Linked DNA regions of Anolis sagrei. The protein of the gene in region 3 purifies or fractionates together with the protein of the main gene of each other region. This does not show direct contact. Links are inferred from orthologs where the notes say so. Each region holds a gene or a part of one and is shown on either strand. Other genes may lie near its edges.

What was found.
Region 1: the proteins of VPS50 (region 3) and VPS52 purify together in Homo sapiens (affinity purification with mass spectrometry; 4 studies listed by BioGRID and IntAct, counting the BioPlex papers as one, with this or other methods). This does not show direct contact. The link is inferred for Anolis sagrei from reciprocal best matches to the Homo sapiens genes VPS50 and VPS52.
Region 2: the proteins of VPS50 (region 3) and EIPR1 purify together in Homo sapiens (affinity purification with mass spectrometry; 4 studies listed by BioGRID and IntAct, counting the BioPlex papers as one, with this or other methods). This does not show direct contact. The link is inferred for Anolis sagrei from reciprocal best matches to the Homo sapiens genes VPS50 and EIPR1.

Annotation. Positions count from the first base shown.
Region 1 is NC_090022.1:1,928,100-1,935,360, forward strand, and holds the start of VPS52 (vacuolar protein sorting-associated protein 52 homolog), read right to left. Parts: upstream 3,025-7,261; 5' UTR 2,941-3,024; coding exon 2,839-2,940; intron 108-2,838; coding exon 26-107; intron 1-25. Other genes in the region: RPS18 (small ribosomal subunit protein uS13), read left to right, coding at 5,059-5,130. UniProt on the Homo sapiens protein: Acts as a component of the GARP complex that is involved in retrograde transport from early and late endosomes to the trans-Golgi network (TGN).
Region 2 is NC_090021.1:119,250,678-119,258,307, reverse strand, and holds the start of EIPR1 (EARP and GARP complex-interacting protein 1), read right to left. Parts: upstream 3,025-7,630; 5' UTR 2,902-3,024; coding exon 2,860-2,901; intron 1-2,859. Other genes in the region: TRAPPC12 (trafficking protein particle complex subunit 12), read left to right, coding at 3,084-3,147. UniProt on the Homo sapiens protein: Acts as a component of endosomal retrieval machinery that is involved in protein transport from early endosomes to either recycling endosomes or the trans-Golgi network.
Region 3 is NC_090026.1:102,220,684-102,227,822, reverse strand, and holds the start of VPS50 (syndetin), read left to right. Parts: upstream 1-4,123; 5' UTR 4,124-4,239; coding exon 4,240-4,272; intron 4,273-7,139.

The DNA of each region.
Region 1 (7,261 bases), on a different chromosome or scaffold from region 3:
TCACCCCCCACCATTTTGTACTCACTGTCCACTTCATCCAGGATGAACTCGTCGGAGGTGAGGTCCAGTTCCCCCAGGTTGAGCTGCAGGGGCTCCTCGCTCTGGCCCTGCAGATGGGGGGGAAGGGAGAAAAAAAGAGGCCGTTACGCTCTGCAGGGAGGCAGGCAAAGCAGCAGGAATAATAATAGTAATAATTTAATTTCTTGCCTGCCTCTCCTCATGGCTCGAAGCTGGTTATATATGATGATATGTTGGCTATTATTGCTTTTATGTTATTTATGCACTTGTTGTATTTTGTGTGTTTGCACCTTTGAGTGCTTTGTGAGCCACTCCGAGTCCCTTCGGGAGATGGTGGCAGGGTATATATATTATTATTGTTATTATTATTATTATTATTATTATTATTATTATTTTATTACAACACTGTAAAAGACACATTCACCAAAAATATTATTTAAAAATTATTTGTTTATTTATTTATGTACCTATTTATACCCCACCTTCCTCAACCCAGAAGGGGACTCAAGGTAGCTTATATTATTTACTAACTTGTGGACCCAGCAGTGCCCGGGTTATTTGGGAAACGCATTGTGTGCCAAGGTTGGACTTTATCATAGAATCCTAGAGTTGGAAGAGACCTCCTGGGCCATCATCCAGTCCAACCCCATTCTGCCAAGAAGCAGGAATATTGCATTCAAAGCACCCCTGACAGATGGCCATCCAGCCTCTGTTTAAAAGCTTCCAAAGAAGGAGCCTCCACCACACTCCGGGGCGAAGAGTTCCACTGCTGAACGGCTCTCACAGTCAGGAAGTTCTTCCTCATGTTCAGATGGAATCTTCTTTTATGTAGTTTGAAGCTATTCTTCCATTGTGTCCTAGTCTCCAGGGAAACTCCCTCCTCCCTGTGGCTTCCTCTCACATATTTATACATGGCTATCATATCCCCTCTCAGCCTTCTCTTCTTCAGGCTATTTATGTGGCTTGCAGTGGTCTCAGGAAGTTATTGAAGGTACTGTGAGTCCCATCGTCTGACTCATCAGTTACCCACCTTCGATGGTGCTGCTCTATCTCCATCGCCCACTGTTAAGAGCTTAGGTGTCGTCCTGGATTCACAGCTGACAATGTTTATTTATTTATTATTTATTTACAGTTCTTATATTCCGCCCTTCTCACCCCGCAGGGTACAGTCAACACATATATGGCAAACATTCAATGCCAGTTTTGACAAACAACGTCTAACACACAAATACACCAAGGCTATTTAACATTTTTCTGGCCGCCAGGGGAGCTGCTGCTTTTCATCGTCCATCAGCGACACCGATGAAGTTCTTCCACATTCCACATTCCCCGGAGTCTTTTTTCTTTATGGCCTCATAAATTAGTTAAATTTAGCCTCCCACACAAGGTGGTGCCTTATTTTCCTACTTGACAGATGCAACTGTCTTTCGCGTTGCAAAGGTCGACAACGGGCTACACAATGGCTGGACACCCACTCCAGCCCGGGCTGGCTTCGAACTCATGACCTTTTGGTCAGAGTGATCTTAATGCAGCTGACACTCAGCCAGCTGCGCCACAATCCTGGTGCTGGAATGGAAGCTCAGGTCGCTGCTGCCAGCAAACAGGCCTTTTTCCATCTACGACAAGTGAGGCAACTGGCACCCTACCTATCTGATGAGGCTCTGGCAACGGTCATCCATGCCACGGTTACATCTAGGCTGGACTATTGCAATGCCCTGTACGTGGGCCTTCCGATGTCTACAACCCGAAAGCTCCGTATTGTTCACAATGCGGCAGCCAGGCTACTCACAAGAATGCCCATGAAATGCTATAGAGCACCAGTCCTGCAACATTGACATTGGCTTCCAACTGAGTACCGTGGCCCCTCCTTCTCCCATCATCGGAGGCCGCAATGACCAGCCCAATGCAACTTACTCCATATACCGTGTCCTAGAGAAGTGCCCTTGGAAAGAACCAGGCGTAGATGGGCTTTCCCTATTTCTGCCCCTGCTTTGTGGAATTCCTTGCCACCCTACTTGAGAGCCATGCGTGACTTAGGGCCTTTTACTCTCGCACTTAAGACCTGGCTTAATAAGTTATTAAATGATGATGATGATGATGATGATCGTCCATGGTCCATCCTCCTCCAAACAGCACCAGGATGTAGAGTGGGTCATGGGGGCTCTGTGTGCCAAGTTTGGTTTTGATCAGTCATTGGATGTGGGTTGCAGCTGTCTCAGGAAGTGAGTGGAGGTACTTCAAGTCCCATCATCCATGGTCCATCCTCCTCTAAACTGCACCAGGATGAAGAGTGGGTCATGGGGGCTCTGTGTGCATAATTAGTCATTGGATGTGGGTCGCAGCTGTCTTGGGAAGTGAGTGGAGGTACTTGAAGTCCCATCCTCCTCCTTGAAACTCTGCCACGATGTGGAATGGGTCATGGGGGCTTTGTGTTGCAAGTCTTGTCTTTATTGGTAATTGGATGAGTGTCTCTGTGGTCTCAGGAAGTGAGTGAAGATACGGCAAGTCCCGGGCCTTAGTTTGAGGACTCCTGGTCAAGATGGAGGGAAGTCCTGGGGCCACTCTTTTCTGCCTTGGTCGTTGACTCTAAGCTGGAAGAGGGAGATTCCAAGAATCCCAGGCCTGGAGAACAGGAATAATCCCTATGAGGAGCGTCTTAAAGAGCTGGGCCTGTTGAGCCTCCAAAGACGAGGCTGAGAGAAGGAGTCCTGGGAGAAAGGTCTGAAAGGCAGTCCCAAGGAAGAGGGGGCCGGCTGAGGTGAGGCCGGAAGTGGGCCTCCCTGGGGGACCGGAAGTGGGGCCCGGTCCGTGTGCACCTACCTCATCCTCCTCGGCGTCCCTGGAGCGCAGCAGCAGCAACAGCCCGGGACCCCCGCCGCTGCCTCCGCCGCCGCCGCCCTCCTCCTCCTCCGTCGCCGACATCACGCCGCTCGCCCGCCTGCCTGCCTGGCTTCTCCCTCAACGCTCTGGACACATCCGGGTCTCCCAGGGAAGCCACTTCCGGTCTCCTAGGCGCTCCCTCCCCTTCGAGACTACAAGACCCGGCATGCACCGCGCGGCGGAGCGGAAGGGGCGGGGCCTGGCTGGGAAAAGAAGGAAGACTGGCACTGTTTCCAGCTGGGGATCTCTCAGCAACACTGGGTTAGGGTTAGTAGAACAAAACACAATAATAGTAAATGTATTCGTATAATACAATTAAGACACATATATTAAAAGGCACAGAGCAAACATATACATATACTAATATTAGTATAAGACTATTAAGTATAATATTAGTATAAGACTATTTATTATTATTATAAAGACATATATTAAAATGCACAGACTAAAATATAAATATAATAATATTTATATTAATATAACACTATTAAAACACACAGAGTATAATATAAATGTAACAATATATTAATATAATATTATGAAGACACATATATTAACATACACAGAATAAATATGTAAATATAATGTATTAATAGAACACCCATATTAAATACACAGAGCAAAAGTATACACGTAATAAATATATTAATAGAATTATTAAAACACGAATATTAACATACACAGAATAAATATAATATATTAATAGAACACCCATATTAAACACACAGAGCAAAAGTATACATATAATGAATATATTAATAGAATATTATTAAGACATATATATTAACATACACAGAATAAATATATAAATATAATGTATTAATAGAACACCCATATTAAATACACAGAGCAAAAGTATACACGTAATAAATATATTAATAGAATTATTAAAACATGAATATTAACATACACAGAATAAATATAATACTATATTAATAGAACACCCATATTAAATATACAGAGCAAAATATACATATAATAAATGTTTTAATGCAATATTGTTAAGGCACATATATTAACATACACAGAATAAATATATAAATATAATAATATATTAATAGAACACCCATATTAAACATACAGAGCAAAAGTATACATATAATGATTATATTAATAGAATATTATTAAAACATGTATATTAACAAACACAGAATAAATATATAAATGTAAGAATATATTAATAGAACATCCATATTATATATACAGAGCAAAAGTATACATATAATAAATATATTAATAGAATAATATTAAGACACATATATTAACATACACAAAATAAATATATAAATGTAGTAATATATTATTAAAACACCCATATTAAATACACAGAGCAAAAGTATACAGGTAATAAATGTATTAATAGAATATTATTAAAACACATATATTAACATACACAGAATAAATATATAAATATAATACTATATTAATAAAACACCCATATTAAACACACAGACCAAAAGTATACATATAACAAATATATTAATATAATACTATTAAAACACGTATATTTTAATACAATGTATTGTCGAAGGCTTTCATGGCTGGAATCACTAGGTTCTTGTGGGTTTTTCGGGCTATAGAGCCATGTTCTAGAGGCATTTTCTCCTGACGTTTCGCCTGCATCTATGGCAAGCATCCTCAGAAGTAGTGAGGTCTGTTGGAATGAGGTCTGTTGGAATTAGGACAATGGGTTTATATATCTGTGGAATGGCTGGGGTGGGGCAATGAGCTCTTCCCTGCTGTAGTTAGGTGTGAATGTTTCAGCTGATCACCTTCATTAGCATTTGAAGGCCTGCCTGAGCCTGGGAAAATCTCTTGCTGGGAGGTGTTAATCTGTGCCTGGTTGTTTCCTCTCTGTTGAAACATTCAATGCAATCTATTAAAATATCTTCTTTTCATATATTGAAATGGATTGTAATAAATATACTGATATGATAGAGATCAAAGGTAGATTGCCTCCTCCAGGGCTTTCAAGTACACAGAGGTTAGTCTCGTTATCTCTCTATGGGCCGCTCTTCTACAGGTTTGCTATCTCTAAGCTCCGCCCTGGCTCTCTATCACCATGGCAACAGCGAAGCGCGGAAGCGCCTTCGAGGTGGAGAGGAAGCCGGGCACGCTCTCACCGGAAGTTGTCGAAGGCCGGGAGGGCGGGGCCTGTATATGGAGGCCTGCGCGCATGCTCGACTTCCTTTTCCGGCCTGGGCAGGAGCGAGGAGCGAGAGTGCAGCCATGGTGGGTCCGGGGGGAAGGCCTCATCCGGCGCCATCCTCCGCGGGGGAGAGGCCGGCCGGGGCCCGGGTGGGAGCGGGAGAGAGGGCGCCGCCGGGGGGCTCCGTAGGGGCGGGCCTCGAGGGCGGGGAGGCCGCGGAAGAAGGAGAAGGAGGGCCGCTTCGGAGGCCCCTGCGGGTTGGAGGCCCATCCAGTCGCTTCCAACTCTGTTATCCTTGTTGTCATTATTGTTATTGACGGCCATCTCTCGGGGGGGCTTTGATGGTGCTCTTCCTGCACAGCAGAATGGGGTTGGAGGAGGCGGCCCATCCAGTCTCGCCCAAGCCTTATCACCATATATTAAAATACACTCAGCAAAAGCATACATTTTCTATATAAACAAAAATGTAGTGACCAATGTATTGTCGAAGGCTTTCATGGCCGGAATCCCTGGGTTGTTGTAGGTTTTTTCGGGCATTCTAGAGGCATTCTCTCCTGACGTTTCGCCTGCATCTGTGGCAAGCATCCTCAGAGGTAGTGAGGTCTGTTGGAAATAGGACAATGGGTTTATGTATCTGAAATAATGTCCAGGGTGGGACAAAGGACTCTTGTCTGCTGGAGCTAGGTGGGAATGTTTCAACTGACGACCTTGATTAGCATTTGATGGCCTGACAGTGCCTGGAGCAATCTTTTGTTAAGAGGTGATTAGATGTCCTTAGAATCAAAGAGTTGGAAGAGACCTCCTGGGCCATCCAGTCCACCCCCATTCTGCCAAGAAGCAGGAATATTGCATTCAAAGCACCCCTGATAGATGGCCATCCAGCCTCTGTTTAAAAGCTTCCAAAGAAGGAGCCTCCACCACACTCCCTCCGGGGCAGAGAGTTCCACTGCTGAACAGCTCTCGCAGTCAGGAAGTCCTTCCTCATGATCAGAGGGAATCTCCTCTCTTGTAGTTTGAAGCCATTATGCCATTGCATCCTAGTCTCCAGGGAAGCAGAAAACAAGCTTGCTCCCTCCTCCTCCCTGTGGCTTCCTCTCACATATTTATACATGGCTATCATATCCCCTCTCAGCCTTCTCTTCTTCAGGCTAAACATGCCCAGCTCCCCAAGCCGCTCCTCATAGGGCTTGTTCTCCAGACCCTTGATCATTTTAGTCGCCCTCCTCTGGACACATTCCAGCTTGTCAATATCTCTCTTGAATTGTGGTGCCCAGAATTGGACACCATATTCCAGGTGTGGTCTGACCAAAGCAGAATAGAGGGGTAGTATTACTTCCTTAGATCTAGACACTAGGCTCCTCTTGATGCAGGCCAAAATCCCATTGGCTTTTTTTGCTGCCACATCACATTCCTGGCTCATGTTTACCTTCCTCCCCACGAGGACTCCAAGATCTTTTTCACACGTCCTGCTCTCGAGCCAGGCATTGTCCCCCATTCTATATCTTTGCATTTCGTTTTTCTTGCCAAAGTGGAGTATCTTGCATTTGTCACTGTTGATCCTTATTTGTTTCCTCTCTGCTGTTGTGCTGTTGTGATTTTATAGTTTTTTTTAATACTGGTAGCCAGATTTTGTTTTCATGGTTTCCTCCTTTCTGTTGAAATTGTGGATTTCAATGGCTTCTCTGTGTAGCCTAGCATGGTGGTGTTTCTGTGTTCTCCAATAATCTGCTGTGTCCAGACACGAATCAAGGAACAGGAAAGGCACTGCAGACTACTCCAACCAGAGAAGTCAGCCATAGCAGAGCACCTGAGGAACCAGCCTGGACACAGCAGATTATTATTTGAGAACACAGAAGTGCTGGCCCACTCTCACAACCACCATGTCAGACTACACAGAGAAGCCATTGACATTCACAAGCATGTGGACAATGTCAACAGAAAGGAGGAAAGGAGGAAAATGAACACAATCTGGCTACCAGTATTAAAAAACTTCAAAATTAGAACAGCACAACAACAGAGAGTAAACAAACAAGGACACCTAGTCACCTCTCAACAAAAGTTTGCTCTAGGTAGTCTAGCTATTATATGCTAATCAAGGTGGTCAGTTGAAACATTCAAACCTAGCTCCAGCAGACAAGAGTTCTTTGTCCCACCCCGGTCATTCCACAGATATATAAACCCCTTTTCCTAGTTCGAACAGACCTCACTACCTCT
Region 2 (7,630 bases), on a different chromosome or scaffold from region 3:
TTTTTCCACCATAAAGCACAGCCAGAATTTAAACTCCCTTCCACTATTACATCTCCTTGCCTCACTTCTTCTGCTGCCCTTCTGCCTGTCCTTCCATGTCTGACCAAAGGGCAGTAAAGGGAGTGATGCCAAGAGCAGAGCTGGCAGGAAAGAAGAATTTCCTGCCAGCAGTAGGAATAGGGTGAGATGGTGGATTGGTGGAAAGCGATTTAAACTCCAGCAGTCTTCATCATGGGAAGGTTGTAACAAGAATAAAAAGTTGGTGCTATGGGACAGCGAGGGAAGGTCAGGTGGATTGAAAGGAAAGGATTTTAAAATCTGGTAGCAGAAGGAGTGAGACAAGGGAATGAATCAGCCAGAAAGGGTTTAAGATCTAGCTGAGCCTTCATAGTGGGAAGGCAGTAAATGGAGTGAGGAGATGGCGCTGATTGCAGGATAGAAGGAGCAGCTCAAGGAGTGAGGCAAGGAGGTCAAACTTGTTAAGCCGAAGATTTGCAAAAGAGAAACCTGTGAATGTACTTCAAATATACTGATCCTAAGCTATGAAAGTTAAATTCAACCCTTGAATTGGTCCTGGAAATAGACCAGAAACCAATGCAGCTGTTAGCGCTGAAACAGGATGTCATAATATCCAACTTTATTGATCCTACTTGCCCTTGGTCTGGCATTTCAAAGATAAAAACTATGAGACCTTGGGCTCAAGCAGCACCTTAGAAGCTTTAGTCTCTCTGTTTTAACCAAACACAATTTAGCATATTGTTGAAACCCATGAAAAAATATACATACAGCTCCCATCAGTCCTAGTCATGTTGACTAATGGCGAAAAATACAGGAGTTGTAGTCTAGCATCTGCCAGGCAGAATAAAATGAAATGGCGGGCTGGATTCTGTCCATGGACTTTGAGTTTGACACATATGATCTAGAAACTCCTAGAGAGAACATCTCTATAGGAATCTCTGGTAGATGTTTACCATGGATTCACCCTAGTCTTAACAGATTCCTAGAGAGATGCTCTCTCAAGTAAAAATAAAAGCGTTTTTGGCAGCTTTCTCACTTTTGCTGGGGTTCTGCGTCCATCTTACCTTATGGAACAGTATGTATGTAGGTATGATTCTAAAATGCCATTGATTGTAAAATAGGCACTAATTTAAGTACCACGAACAGAGGGAAAAAAGCTTTATTTATACATACAAAAAAGCACCTGCAATCCCAAGCCACACCCCAACTGTTGACATATTTATATGGAAAAAAGCATATCCCAAAATCAAGGAAATATTGTTTTGAGAAAATAAAATATTGTTTTATATGCATATGACTTCTCTTTTTAAATATGATGCTTCTTAGCTAATGTATTTGATAATCAATAAGAGATAAGATATGTGCGTGGTTCCATAAATTTTCAGTTTATGTTTTGCCTGCAATTATTATTACACACACATCAAGTCTCCTATTGGAAATAGCAACCTTCTACAAGCCTTCTATACTAGTTATTTGCTATTTATATAATTCAGATTACTTACTATATTGTAAATATGTGTATTGGTATACCTAATTTGTCTTGCACGAATACTAGTGGATATATACCACTAAAGAAAAGATTCACTCAAATGAGTTTTTAGCTCTTCTCAGGATTATCATACTTTACAAAAAGGTTATAATCATTACAAATTGTGTGGATGCCAAATGTCATAAATAAATTGTAAATAAATAATCTCCAAAGGGTCGCACTTCCAAAAAGGCTTTGGAGATTCTGGTTTTCCAAAAGGTTATGATGTCAAAGGTCATTCTTTCCCAAAATCTCCTTTGTGTAGAGAAAAGGTGGGATATAAATATACATAATAATAATAATTTCTTTTTAAGAGCCCTAGAAGAAGGCCATTATCAATATATCCAGGCCAAAAAAACATCCATTGGGCTTATTTGAGAGACACAATCTTTTACACATCCCCTGATTCCATAGCACTGAGCCATGGCGGTTAAAATGGTGTCAAACTGCATTAACCCTGCAGTGTAGATGCACCACAAGGTATCTCATGATGCAAATACAGAGATTCCAAAATACATTGAAAAATTTGAAATCCAATACAATTTCAGGTAAGTCATACTCAACTTGTATTTATAAAATTGTACGTTTTGCATTTACAGATGCATTTGGTGTGAGGTTCGGCCCTTCCCCACTGCCATATAACTCAGAATATCAAGGCAGAAAGTCCCACAATATCTGCTTTGAACTGGGTTATCTGAAGCCCCTTCCACACAACTGAATAAAATCCCACATTTTCTGCTTTGAACTGGAATATATGTCAGTGTGGACTCAGATAACCCAGTTCAAAGTAGATATTGTGGGATTTTCTGCCTTGATATTCTGGGTTATATGGCTGGGTGGAAGGGCCCAAGTCCACATTGTGATATAACCCTGTTCAAAGCAGATATTGTGAGGTTTTTTGCCTTGATATTCTGGGTGATATGGCTGGGTGGAATGGCCCAGAGTCCACTGCCATATAACCCAGTTCAAAGCTGATTTTGTGGGATTTTCTGCCTTGATATTCTAGGTTATATGGCTGGGTGGAAGGGCCCAGAGTCTACTGCTATATAACCCAGTTCAAAGCTGATTTTGTGGGATTTTCTGCCTTGATATTCTGGGTGATATGGCTGGGTGTAAAGGCCCAGAGTCCACTGCCATATAACCCAGTTCAAAGCAGATATTGTGGGATTGTATACAGTTGTGTGGAAGGGGTCCTAGATTATAGGAAACATGTGTTGCTGCTGTTCACAGCATTCCCCTTCCTTTCCAATTACCATGCTGATCATGACACGACAAAAAAAAAACCCTCATTGAAGCCCCTTCTTCCCCATTACCTGGAACTCGAGCCCATAAATCACGGGAGCATCATCCTCCATGGCTTCCGGGAAGCAATCCCCATTCAAAGCCCCATAGGGAAAAGGCGAAGCTCACAACAAGTGCTTGCACGTCCCTCGCCGGCTTCCGTCTTTCTCTCCACTTCCTGGATGGAAAGAGACGCTCCGTTCACGCAGCGGCAGAAGAGACGGCGGCTGCAGTGGGACCGTGAAAGCGGGCGCGCATGCGCACTCGGTGGGTTTCCCTATTTCGCCTCGGAGGCCTTGCCGGTGTTGCTGTCAGTGGAAGTAAGTGAGGCCAAGAAGGGGCCAGGCACGTGTATTTCTTCGCTTTGGCTGGCGCAGGGAAGGGAGAACACTCCTGTGGGGTTTGTGATGCTGCCTGAGCCCCTGTTCAGAGGATTTCAACTCTCTCTTTCTGTCCCTGTGATTATTGGATATTGAAAAATGCGGCTTGTCGTGGAAACAAGGATTGGTGCCAAAGCTGCAGTGGAGACACTTTCCCCCCGTGATAAACTCTTTCAAGAGTCAATTTCCCTTCCAAGGGGGAGATTTGTCTCACTGCGTTGCCATAGAATCCCGTTTCTATAATATATTGTATAAACATATAATATTGATAATATTATAATGTAATACAATATAATAATAATATGATATTATAATTATGTATTTTATCTTATATGTAATATTACTAATAATATTACAATATAATAGTATAGTGCAATATAGTAATATATAATACTAATATTGTGCTATGGTAATAATATAATATACTAGCTTTCGGTTGACAACTCCTATGATATATGGCCTGTATCATGACTTGAATTGTCATTCAGTCTGATGTCCTATATTATATTAACTGATCCTGTTAATTTGCTCTGTTTCCATGATTTTTCCTATGCCGTTATACATTGTCATCTACCTTATTAAACCAACTATCATTTAACTAGTTCACGTAGTGGTTTTCCTCCCCCCCCCCCCTCCAAAATTAGTCTGCTGGTATTGTTATTGCTAGCTATTTTTATTATGTTGTTTTATGCTGTTTATATTGCTTTAATTGTTATTGCTTTATTTTAACTGTATTCTGCCTGGGCTTGGGTTCCATGTTAGCCACCCCAAGTCCCTTCGAGGAGATGGAGGTGGGGTAGAAAAATAAAGTTCTTCTTCTTCCTCTTCTTCTTCTAGCTGTACCCGCCATGCGTTGCTGTGGCCAACTTTTCCTCCCTCTTTCTCTTCGTTCTTTCTCTCCTTCCTTCCTTCTCTTCTTCTTCCCTTCCACCCACCCCCTTTTTTCTTTCCCTTCACCTTTCTTTCCTCTCTACCTTCTCTACCTATTCTTGGACTGCAACTCCCAACAGTCCTCCTGATCCATCCATCTATCTACCTACCTACCTATCTCTATCTAATCTATCTATCTGGAGGATTGCTGGGAACTGCAGTCCAGGAATAGGAAATTGGAAATATGCAGGGATTGGGATACTCTCAAAGAAGTCCAAGGAGAAGGAATCTTGCAGCTTGGAAGCAGTGCATTTGAATCATCCCCTTCTCCTAAAGGGTCTGGTCTAGGAAATGCTGGGAGCTGTAGTCTGGAGGAGAGTGTGGATATGCTATTGTGTGTTTTGTTCGCCAGGGGAAGTCGTTTTTGTGCTGTGGTGTCTTTTTGCTTTTTTGGTTTCTAAAGTCTTTTCGGCTGTGTTTTTCAGTGTTTTTATGAGTGATGGTCACTCGTTGGCCTGACAGGTGCATTGTGTCCAAATTTGGTGTCAATTCGTCCAGTGGTTTTTGAGTTATGTTAATCCCACAAACAAAGATTACATTTTTATTTATATAGATTGTATTTACATATTATTTGTAAACCTCTCTGAGTCCCCTTCAGGATGAGAAGGGCAGCATATAAATGTTGTGAATAAATAAATAAATTTCTGAATCCAAATTATCTACTTTGAGTTGGATTATATGGTAGTGTAGAACTGCCATATAATCCAGATAATCTGGATTCAAAAAAAAGGATGATATGGCAGTGTTGATCTGGCCTGAGACTGTCGTACTTTGGCCATATCCTGAAAAGAAATGGCTCACTAGAAAAGGCAATACTGTTTGTTAAGGGGGAAGGCAGCAGGAAAAGGTAAAGACTACACTGCAGAGGGATACACTCAATCATAAGGGTGCATCTACATTTATGCTGTGGTTCTCAGCCTGTGGGTCCCCAGGTGTTTTGGCCTACAACTCTCAGAAATCCCAGCCAGTTTACCAGCTTTTAGGATTTCTGGGAGTTGAAGGCCAAAACATCTGGGACCCACAGGTTGAGAACCACAGGAATGAAGCATTTTGATCCCACCTTAATTGCCATGACTAAATGCTACAGAATCCTGGGAGTTATGGTTTTACAATGTCTTCAGCCTTCTCTGAGAAAGACTGTTTGTGCCGCACCAAACTACAAATCCAAGGATCCATAGCATTGAACCATGTCAGTTAAAGGGGTGTCAGACTTCATGGATTCTGCAGTGTAGATGCACCCTGGGTCTGCAAGACTTCAAGAAGGGTGTTGGCGATAGGATTACTTGAAAGTCTCATTCACAAGTCAACATTAAGAGCAACAATTCATTGCTATTAATTATTATTGGCATGTATTGTCGAAGGCTTTCATGGCCAGAATCACTGGGTTGCTGTGAGTTTTCCAGGCTATATGGCCATGTTCCAGAAGCATTCTCTCCTGATGTTTCACCCACATCTATGGCAGGAATTCTCAGAGGTTGTGAATTCTGTTGGAATGTAGACAACTGGGGTTTATATATCTGTGGAATAATGTCCAGGGTGGGAGAAAGAACTCTTATCTGTTTGAGGCAAGTGTGAGTGTTGGAATATGTTTTTAAAGGTTTTAATGTATGTATGTTGTAATTCTGTTTTAAATGTTGATTGTAATTTTTAAATTATTTTAATGTCATCAAATAGTTGCCTATGTTGTAAAGCTACCTTGAGTCACCTTCGGGTTTGAAAAAGGTGGGGTAGAAATATCGTAAACAAATAAATAAATTGGCCACCTTGATTAGCATTGAATGGTCTTGCAGCTTCAAAGCCTGAGGGAATCCTTTGTTGGGAGGTGTTAACTGCCCCTGATTGTTTCATGTCAGGAATTCCCCTGTTTTTAGTGTTCCTCTTTATTTACTGTCCTGATTTCAGAGGGTTTAAAAAAATATATTATTGGCATGTATATATTGACCCTTTACTTCAAACTGTGGGAAAATACATATAACATACACTTCCTGAATTTTATTATACAAAGATGTTTGTTTTATTAAAATGATAATAATCTTTGCAAACATATTAAAGAAAATAATTTGTCACATATTTTTCTATTTTAAGCATCCAGAAACCCACCCCTGCTTTCTCTTCCAAAAAGACAAGTGTTGTACATAGTGAAGCCAAACCTGACAGAGCTGAATTTGGGAAATTATTTTTCAGTACCTGAAAACTGCATTTTTGGGATGGCTCAGTTCAAGTTGCTTTCAGCTAAAAATTTATAGCATGCTTTCTATGCTCTCCATGGCAATGCTCAATTTGAAATGGAATCCCCTTCACTACATATTTTCTTTTACATTTCTTTGTCTTCTATCATTTCGTGCACCATTATCATATTTTTGGCATGCTGGATTCCCCATATTCCTGTAAAGAATACTTTAGTGTCCTCCAAGTGTTTTAGACTTCCACATCCAGGAATCCTAGCCAGCTTACCAGCTGTTAGAAATTCTGGGAGCTGAAGCCCAAAACGCCTGGAGGACCAAAAGTTGGGAGCCACTGGTGTAGAAGAACAAATATTGGATATTTCTGCAATTCAGTATAAAGGCATATCCTTGCTTTGAAGTAACTAACTGCAAAAGTAAATAAGACACGTCTCATCAAAATCTATGACATTTATTGCAGTGTTTTGACCTAGTAATCCCTCTGTCTCTCTTTTGAAGTCTACCAGCACCAGTGTTTTGCCACGATTCTTTGCCAGATAATTTAGACAGTACCCACTATATCATCAAAGCTCTGATTGGTAGCAGCGCAATAACTCAATCCAAAAGAAATTTCAAGCAGTCACTTGAATATGATATGAAATGATATAAGTGATTATAAACTTCAAAGTAATCTCCAGCCAGAGCAAGCAATCACAAGATGAAGTTGTGATTTAAGACAGTGAATAGAGTGCACAAATGCCAACTCCATCCCATGGAGTGTCCCTCCCGGGACCAAATCTCTTCATGTGAGAGCAATTTTTTCTAGTGCTGAAAGAGAAATCCCACTCCTTGTTACATTGAGCAGCAATTGAAGATATCAGGGCATCTCCAAGTGAGGGATATAGCCCATATCTGGGGTAGTTGTCCTTTTAAGCACTGGTGAGATGAGTGGCATAGGAAGAAAACGTACAGTGCAGCTGGTGTTCGGAGGAGCTGGTCCTCCAAAGCTAGGTATGTCTCTTTGCCCACTGCATGACCTTCTACGGCATGGTGAATGACAACAGAACTGCCTTGTAGTACCCAAGAACTATATGTGTGTACTCAAAATGAAAAGAGCTACTTCAGTGGTTCTCAACCTGTGAGTCCTCAAATGTTTTGGCCTACAGCTCCCAGAAATCTCAGCCAAATTTACCAGTTGTTAGGATTTTTGAGAATGGAAGGCCAAAACATCTGGGGACCTACAGGTTGAGAACCACTGAGCAGCATCTAGAACTAGTCAACAAAATTTGCAGGTTTTTTAAATGGCTAGCTTTAGAGGTACTAATACCAGT
Region 3 (7,139 bases):
AAGGTCAGTGGTTCAAATCCAGGGAGCAGGGTGAGCTCCTTCTGTTAGCCCCAGCTTCTGCCAAACTAGCAGTTCAAAAACATACAAATGTGAGTGGGTACTGCTTGGGGGGAAGGTAATGGTGCTCCATGCAGTCCTGCTGGCCACATGATCTTGGAGGCATCTACGGACAATGCTGGCTCTTCGGCTTTGAAATAGAGATGAGTACCACCCCCCAGAGTTGGACCCGACTAGACTTAATGTCAAGGATAAACTTTTTCTTTATTGTATATTTGTGTTGTCAATTCCTATGATAGCACTAAGGTTTTGAAGACATTGAAAAAGACTCTCAGTTTTAAGGAAGATGCTTTTCAATGCCTGTTGAAAGTGAAGAAGTATCAACACTTATACACAGAGCAAATAGCGACGGAGGGTGGTATATGCCTGCTGTCTTGTTTTTCACCTCTGTTTACTAGATCTATGTAACTCAAGGTGTTTTGCTTCTTGTCTACGTGAAAAAGTCACTTCCAAGTTTTCACTAAAAGTCTTTAGTGTGCTTTATTACCATTTATTTTAAAAGGGAGCACCATGATGCTTCTCAACCTCAGGATGCCTTACAAAGAGACATGAGAGTCAGCATCAAGGAGTCTTCTACCAAATTTAGCTAAACTTTTTGTCTCTCTATTATTCTATACATACAAGATGTATAATTGATTCTATGATTCTAAGATGTATTATCTGCAACAATAAAAGTACATTTTTACCTTTGAAACCCTTACCAGAGTATCCTGTGCATTTTCTCTCCTCTTTCCTACCACAAGTTCATATACCGCACTCTACTATAGATACCATATATTTCAACAATGATAGCTTTTGAAATAAATACATTTAGTCTCTGGGTAGAGGCCTAGATGAGTCCATCTGCTTAGGATTAGTGGGGGGGGGGGGGGAAGAAGGAAGGGTAACATTTTGTTTCTGTTTCCTTAGTTACTTACCAATAATTAAATTAATAATAAAATATATATTTTGAGTATATGAGGCTCTATGAATGGATCAAAGTGTAGAAAAGTTATGTTCTAGAATCCCTTAACGAGGGATTTCTCACCCTCAGGGTGAGAAAAGCGGTATACAAATACTGAAATAAATAAATAATTTTTTTGTTATCTTGAAGTTTTATATGGATATTCTACTTTGGAAATTATTATTATTATTATTATTATTATTATACTTTATTTGTACCCCGCTAGCATCTCCCGAAGGACTCGATGCGGCTTACAAAGGCCAAGGCCTCAACACACAATATAACAATACAAAGAAAGATGTCAGAAGCATTGCAAGTTGTTCCTCCCTAGCAATTCCTTCCCACTGAATTACTCCTTTCCCACTGGAGATAAGACAGAATGGCTCCATTGGTTTGGTACAGGTCCAATCTACACCCGGACACCTGATTGGGCCTGACTGAAGTCCTCACAGGGGCTTCATTTTGCCAATCTATATGAACACCACCATTTTATTACAGCATTGTATATAATGAAACTTTAGAGGTGACAGATTTTGGTACCCACAGAGTTTTCCTGGAATTGACCACCAGCTGATACCACAGACCTATTGTATACTGAAAAGTTGTAAATTACAGCCCTAGAATATGAATGCAGCAAATACAAGAATTCTAAATGTGGAGGAGTTTCAACTATGTGGAGGAGTTTCTCTACAGGGCTAAACATTTGCATTTCTGCAGTAATACTGTCATTTTTAAGTGCATCCACACTGTAGTAGAATGACTGCAGTTTGACACCACTTTAATTGCCAAGGCTCAATACTATGGAATCCTGGGAGATGTAGTTTGGTGTAGCACCAGAACTCTTTGGCAGAAAAGGCTAAAGAGGTTGTAAAACTACAAAATTTATAAATTACAATTAAAATGGATAAAATACACAATATATAAAGATAAAAATATTAAAACAATATAATGTAAGGTAATAGAAAATATTAGGTTTTTTTTAAATCCTACGTATGGAGACTTTGGGGCTACCCTACATTTCTTCTTATTATCATTCATTTATATTATGTTTGTTTATATTAATTTTATTATTGTTATTTTAAGTTATTAGGATTAGGTATTATTGTTGTTTAAATTAATTTATATTATTATTTATATTATGTTATTGTATATTAGTTTCATATTATTTATATTATTTTATATTGTTGCCTATATTATTATTGTTGTATATTTTCATTATTTTATATTATTATTGCTTTGTATTATCATTAAAGGTAAAGCTGTCAGACTCTGGGGGGTGGTGCTCATTCCATTTCTAAGCCAAAGAGTCGGCATTGTCCGTAGACACCTCCAGGGTCATGTGGCTGGCATGATTGCATGGAGCGTCATTAATCTCCTGCTTGTGCGGTACCTATTGATCTACTCACATTTGCATGTTTTCGAACTGCTAGGTTGGCAGAAGCTGGGACTAAGAGCGGGAGCTCACCCTGTTCCCTGGATTCAAACCGCCAACCTTTAGGTCAGCAAGTTCAGCAGCTCAGAGGTTTAATCTGCTGCACCACTGGGCATCATTATTTTTAAATCAAATATTTATATTATTGTCGAAGGCTTTCATGGCTGGAATCACTCAGTTCTTGTGGGTTTTTTCGGGCTATATGGCCATGTTTCGGGCTATATGGCCATGATTGATTATGATTCAAACAAGACGAAGCGGATTTTTAGCTTAATTAGCCGTGTGTTAGTAAGATGTGTGTTATGGTCCTAATCTATTGTAATTGTTGTCTTTATGTTCTGTGTTCTGTACACTGCCACGAGTCGCCTTCGGGCTGAGAGTGGCGGTTAACAAATGCAAATAATAATAATAATAATAATAATAATAATGTTCTAGAGGCATTTCTCCTGACGTTTCGCCTGCATCTATGGCAAGCATCCTCAGAGGTGAGGACCTCACCTCTGAGGATGCTTGCCATAGATGCAGGCGAAACGTCAGGAGAAATGCCTCTAGAACATGGCCATATAGCCCGAAAAAACCCACAAGAACTGAGAGATTTATATAATTGTTTATATTAGTTCATATTATTTCAAATTCTTGCTTATAATCTTATTATTATTATTATTATTATTATTATTTTTTATATTCTCATGATTTCTATTATTTATTTATTTGTATTTATTTATTTGTCGTGTCAGAGCAACCAGTCCATTATATTACATTTCTAACAGAACAAAGCAAACAAACAGAAAAATACACAACTTGTGAGTTTGGTAGCTGGTTAAATGTCCTTTGACCAGTATCTGGCCATTTGGAGTGTTGCTGCAAGAAGGTCCTCCATTGTGCATGTGGCAGGGCTCAGGTTGCATTGCAGCAGGTGGTCAGTGGTTTGCTCTTCTCCACACTCGCATGTCGAGGATTCCACTTTGTAGCCCCATTTCTGAAGGTTGGCTCTGCATCTCGTGGTGCCAGAGCGCAGTCTGTTCAATGCCTTCCAAGTCGCCCAGTCTTCTGTGAGCCCATGGGGGAGTCTCTCATTTGGTATCAGCCATTGGTTGAGGTGCTGGGTTTGAGCCTGCCACTTTTGGACTCTCGCTTGCTGGGGTGTTCCAGCGAGTGTCTCTGTAGATCTTAGAAAACTATGTCTAGATTTAAGTCGTTGATGTGCTGGCTGATACCCAAACAGGGGATGAGCTGGAGATGTCTCTGCCTTGGTCCTTTCACTATTGGCTGCTACTTCCCGGCAGATGTCAGGTGGTGCAATACCGGCTAAGCAGTGTAATTTCTCCAGTGGTGTGGGGCGCAGACACCCTGTGATAATGCGGCATGTCTCATTAAGAGCCACATATTATTACTAATATTAATAATTATTACTAATATTATTACTAATATTATTACTAATATTATTATGTTTGTTGTTATTTGCCTATTAGACACCCAGGCGGAAGGGCAAAACAGACCAGAAAATAAACCTCCAACTAGCAGGTGACTCTCCCTTTAACAGAAGACTTCTTCCCTGCTGGAAAATCAGAGGCTAGGCAATATATGAGTTTAGTATCACGGGAATTGTAGTTCTGAAGACCACGCTCTCTGAAGCATGGCATAGATGAGCTGTTCGCACTAGGCCTACAAATCCCATGAAACACCGGGGCACGGGAAGCAAGCGGGTCACGTGAGGCCCAAAATGGCGCCGCTGTGTCAGAGCGTTCCGGGCCCGGTGGCTGACAGAAGAGGGTGAGGAAGGCCAAGAGGCTGGCGCTGGGCTGCGATGCAGAAGATCAAGTCCCTCATGACCCGACAGGTACGGGGAGCGGGAGAGGCCTAAATTGCCGAGGAGGGCTGCGCCTCGAAGCGATCCGGACAAAAAGGAGCAGCAGGCGGGTCCAGGTTGGGCTGAATGAATGCTGCTGCTGCTGCTTTAAAGCAAGGCCGGACTTCCTTGGCTTGGTGTGGCACCCTTTCACAAGAAACATAGCGTGTGTTTTCAGGAGGAAACAAAATCCCAGAAACCAGTAGACAACCAGTTAACGGGTATCCATGAGAATTGGTAGATGGCGAATAAATGTCATTTCTGGTTGCTTGAGAGTTGCTATTAAAGATAGGCCTAACTCATACTATACCCCATATTATACCGTACCATGAACTCTGTGTTGACGTGATATCAATATTAAATTACCGTAATTAAAAGCAAATTAAGACAAATAAGGACAAATTTAATTTAATGTGACACAGTTTTAGAGTATTATTTATTTATTTACAGCATTTATATACCGCTTTTCTCACCCCGAGGGGGACTCAAAGCGGTTTACACATAGATAATGGCAAAAATTCAATGCCTTACCACTACAACAGTAAAGCCACACTTTAAACATAAATCATATTAAAAACAGTACATCATCAAATATCAAAACAGTTATTAAAACCATAAAACAATCCCATCAGTCGAGTCACCATTCCAGTCCTTGTCCCACTAAACCCTGCATACATCTATTGTCTGAGGCCTGGTCCCAGAACCATGATTTTCATTTTTTTCTAAAGGTCAGGAGCGAGGGAGCAGATTTTACCTCCTTTGGGAGTGTGTTCCATAGGCGGGGGGCCACAGCTGAGAAGGCCCTGCTCCTTGTCCCCGCCAGCCGCATTTGCACTGTTGACGGGAGCGAGAGCAGGGCCTCCCCGGATGATCTTAAATTGTAAGGTGGGACATAAGGGCAGATGTGTTCAGACAAGTAAGCTGGGCCCGAACTGTATAGAGCTTTATAGGTCAAAAACAGCACTTTGAATTGGGCTCGGAGATGGACCGGCAGCCAGTGGAGCTGGCATAACAGGGGGGTGGTATGCTCCCTGTATGCCGCCCCAGTTAGTAATCTGGCTGCTGCCCGTTGAACTAACTGAAGTTTTCGAACTGTCTTCAAAGGCAGCCCCACGTAGATCTATTATAAAAACAATGAACACAGTTTACTGCATTATTTCTACAATATATATCAGGCATCAGCAAACTTTGGCCCTCCAGGTGGTTTGGACTTCAACTTAGGAATTGTGGGAGTTGAAGTCCAAAACACCTGGAAGTTTGCCCATGCTTGGGGTGTATGCGTTGAACAAACGTTTGCAAATGCAGAGTAACTGACACAGGAAAATGGAATGACTAGACAATGAGTCCGAACAACATTTTTAACAAGGAGACACAATGAATTATATTTTATTGATTTGTTTAGTTTTTATTATATGTTACGTTTTTAATTGTATTTATGACATTGTAAGCATTGAATTTTACCCTGAGTCGCCCACGGGCCGAGAAAGGCGGTATACGTATACAATAAATAAATAATAAAATTTTATTTATACCCCGCCACCATCTCCCCTAGGGGACTCGGGGCAGCTTACATGATGCCAAGCCCAACAACACATCAATAACAACAAAGCAGCAAGCAAATAAAACAGTACAATTAATATAGCTCACATATATTAATTGTGAGCACCCCCAAGTCTGCTTTGCTCAGACATCATTTGGAATGAGTTTCAATAAGGAAAAATGAGCAGAAAAAATGAAATGCATAGATCTAGGATGAGGGACACCTGGCTTGATAACATTACATGTAAAGGGGATCTAGGACTGGGTTATTGTGAGTTTTCCGGGCTGTATGGCCATGTTCCAGAAGCATTTTCTCCTGATGTTTCACCTGCATCTATGGCAGGCATCCTCAAAGGTTGTGAGGTCTGTTGGAAACATTTTCTGAGTTTTCCAACCGACCTCACAACCTTTGAGGATGCCTGCCATAGATGCAGGCGAAACATCAGAAGAGAATGCTTCTGGAACATGACAATACAGCCTGGGAAACTCACAACAACCCAGTGATTCTGGCCATGAAAGCCTTTGACAATACACAGATCTAGGACGCTTTGTAGGCCACAAGCTGGACAGTGTGTTATGGCAACTAATAAAGCCAATCCATAGGAGTATAGTGTCGACATCAAGGGCAGTCATAGTCCCAGTCTATTCTGTTTTGGTCAGGCCTCACTTGAAATACTGTGTCCACTTCTGGCATCACAATATATGGAAAAGTTTATGAATTTTGTTGTCTTGATTGGTTGAGCATTATTATGCATACTGTATTTTTGTTGTTGTTGTAAGCTACCCAGAGTCGATTTGGAGAGAGGGGGTGGAATATAAATAAAGTGTTGTTGTTGTTGTTGTTGTTGTTATCTGGAACCCAGTTCAAAGCAGATATTGTCGGATTTTCTGCCTTGATATTCTGAGATGGAGGGCTGTATGATATTATTGTATGATATTAGCAAATAGGTTTGTCACTGTTATTGACATGACAGCCATCTTTCAGTAATTTCAAGATGGAGTAAGCTTGTTTTTTGCTTATCTAGAGGTTGGCACACAAACAATCAGATTCAAATAGAAATCTGATTATTTGTGTAGAAAAGAGATTCTGTCTAAACATTAGGAGGAACTTTCTGATGTTAAGAGCAGTGGAATGGCTTGCATAGGGGATGATGGACTCTCCTTCATCAGAGGTCTTTTAACTTGGTAGCAATCTTGCAGAAGTGCTTTATTATGTATTATTTCCTGGAAAGCGGTTGTACTAAACGGACCTTGGAGTCCTTTCCAACTCAAATGATTATGTGGTAGCAAACAATTTATGGAAGCTGCTGAATATATTA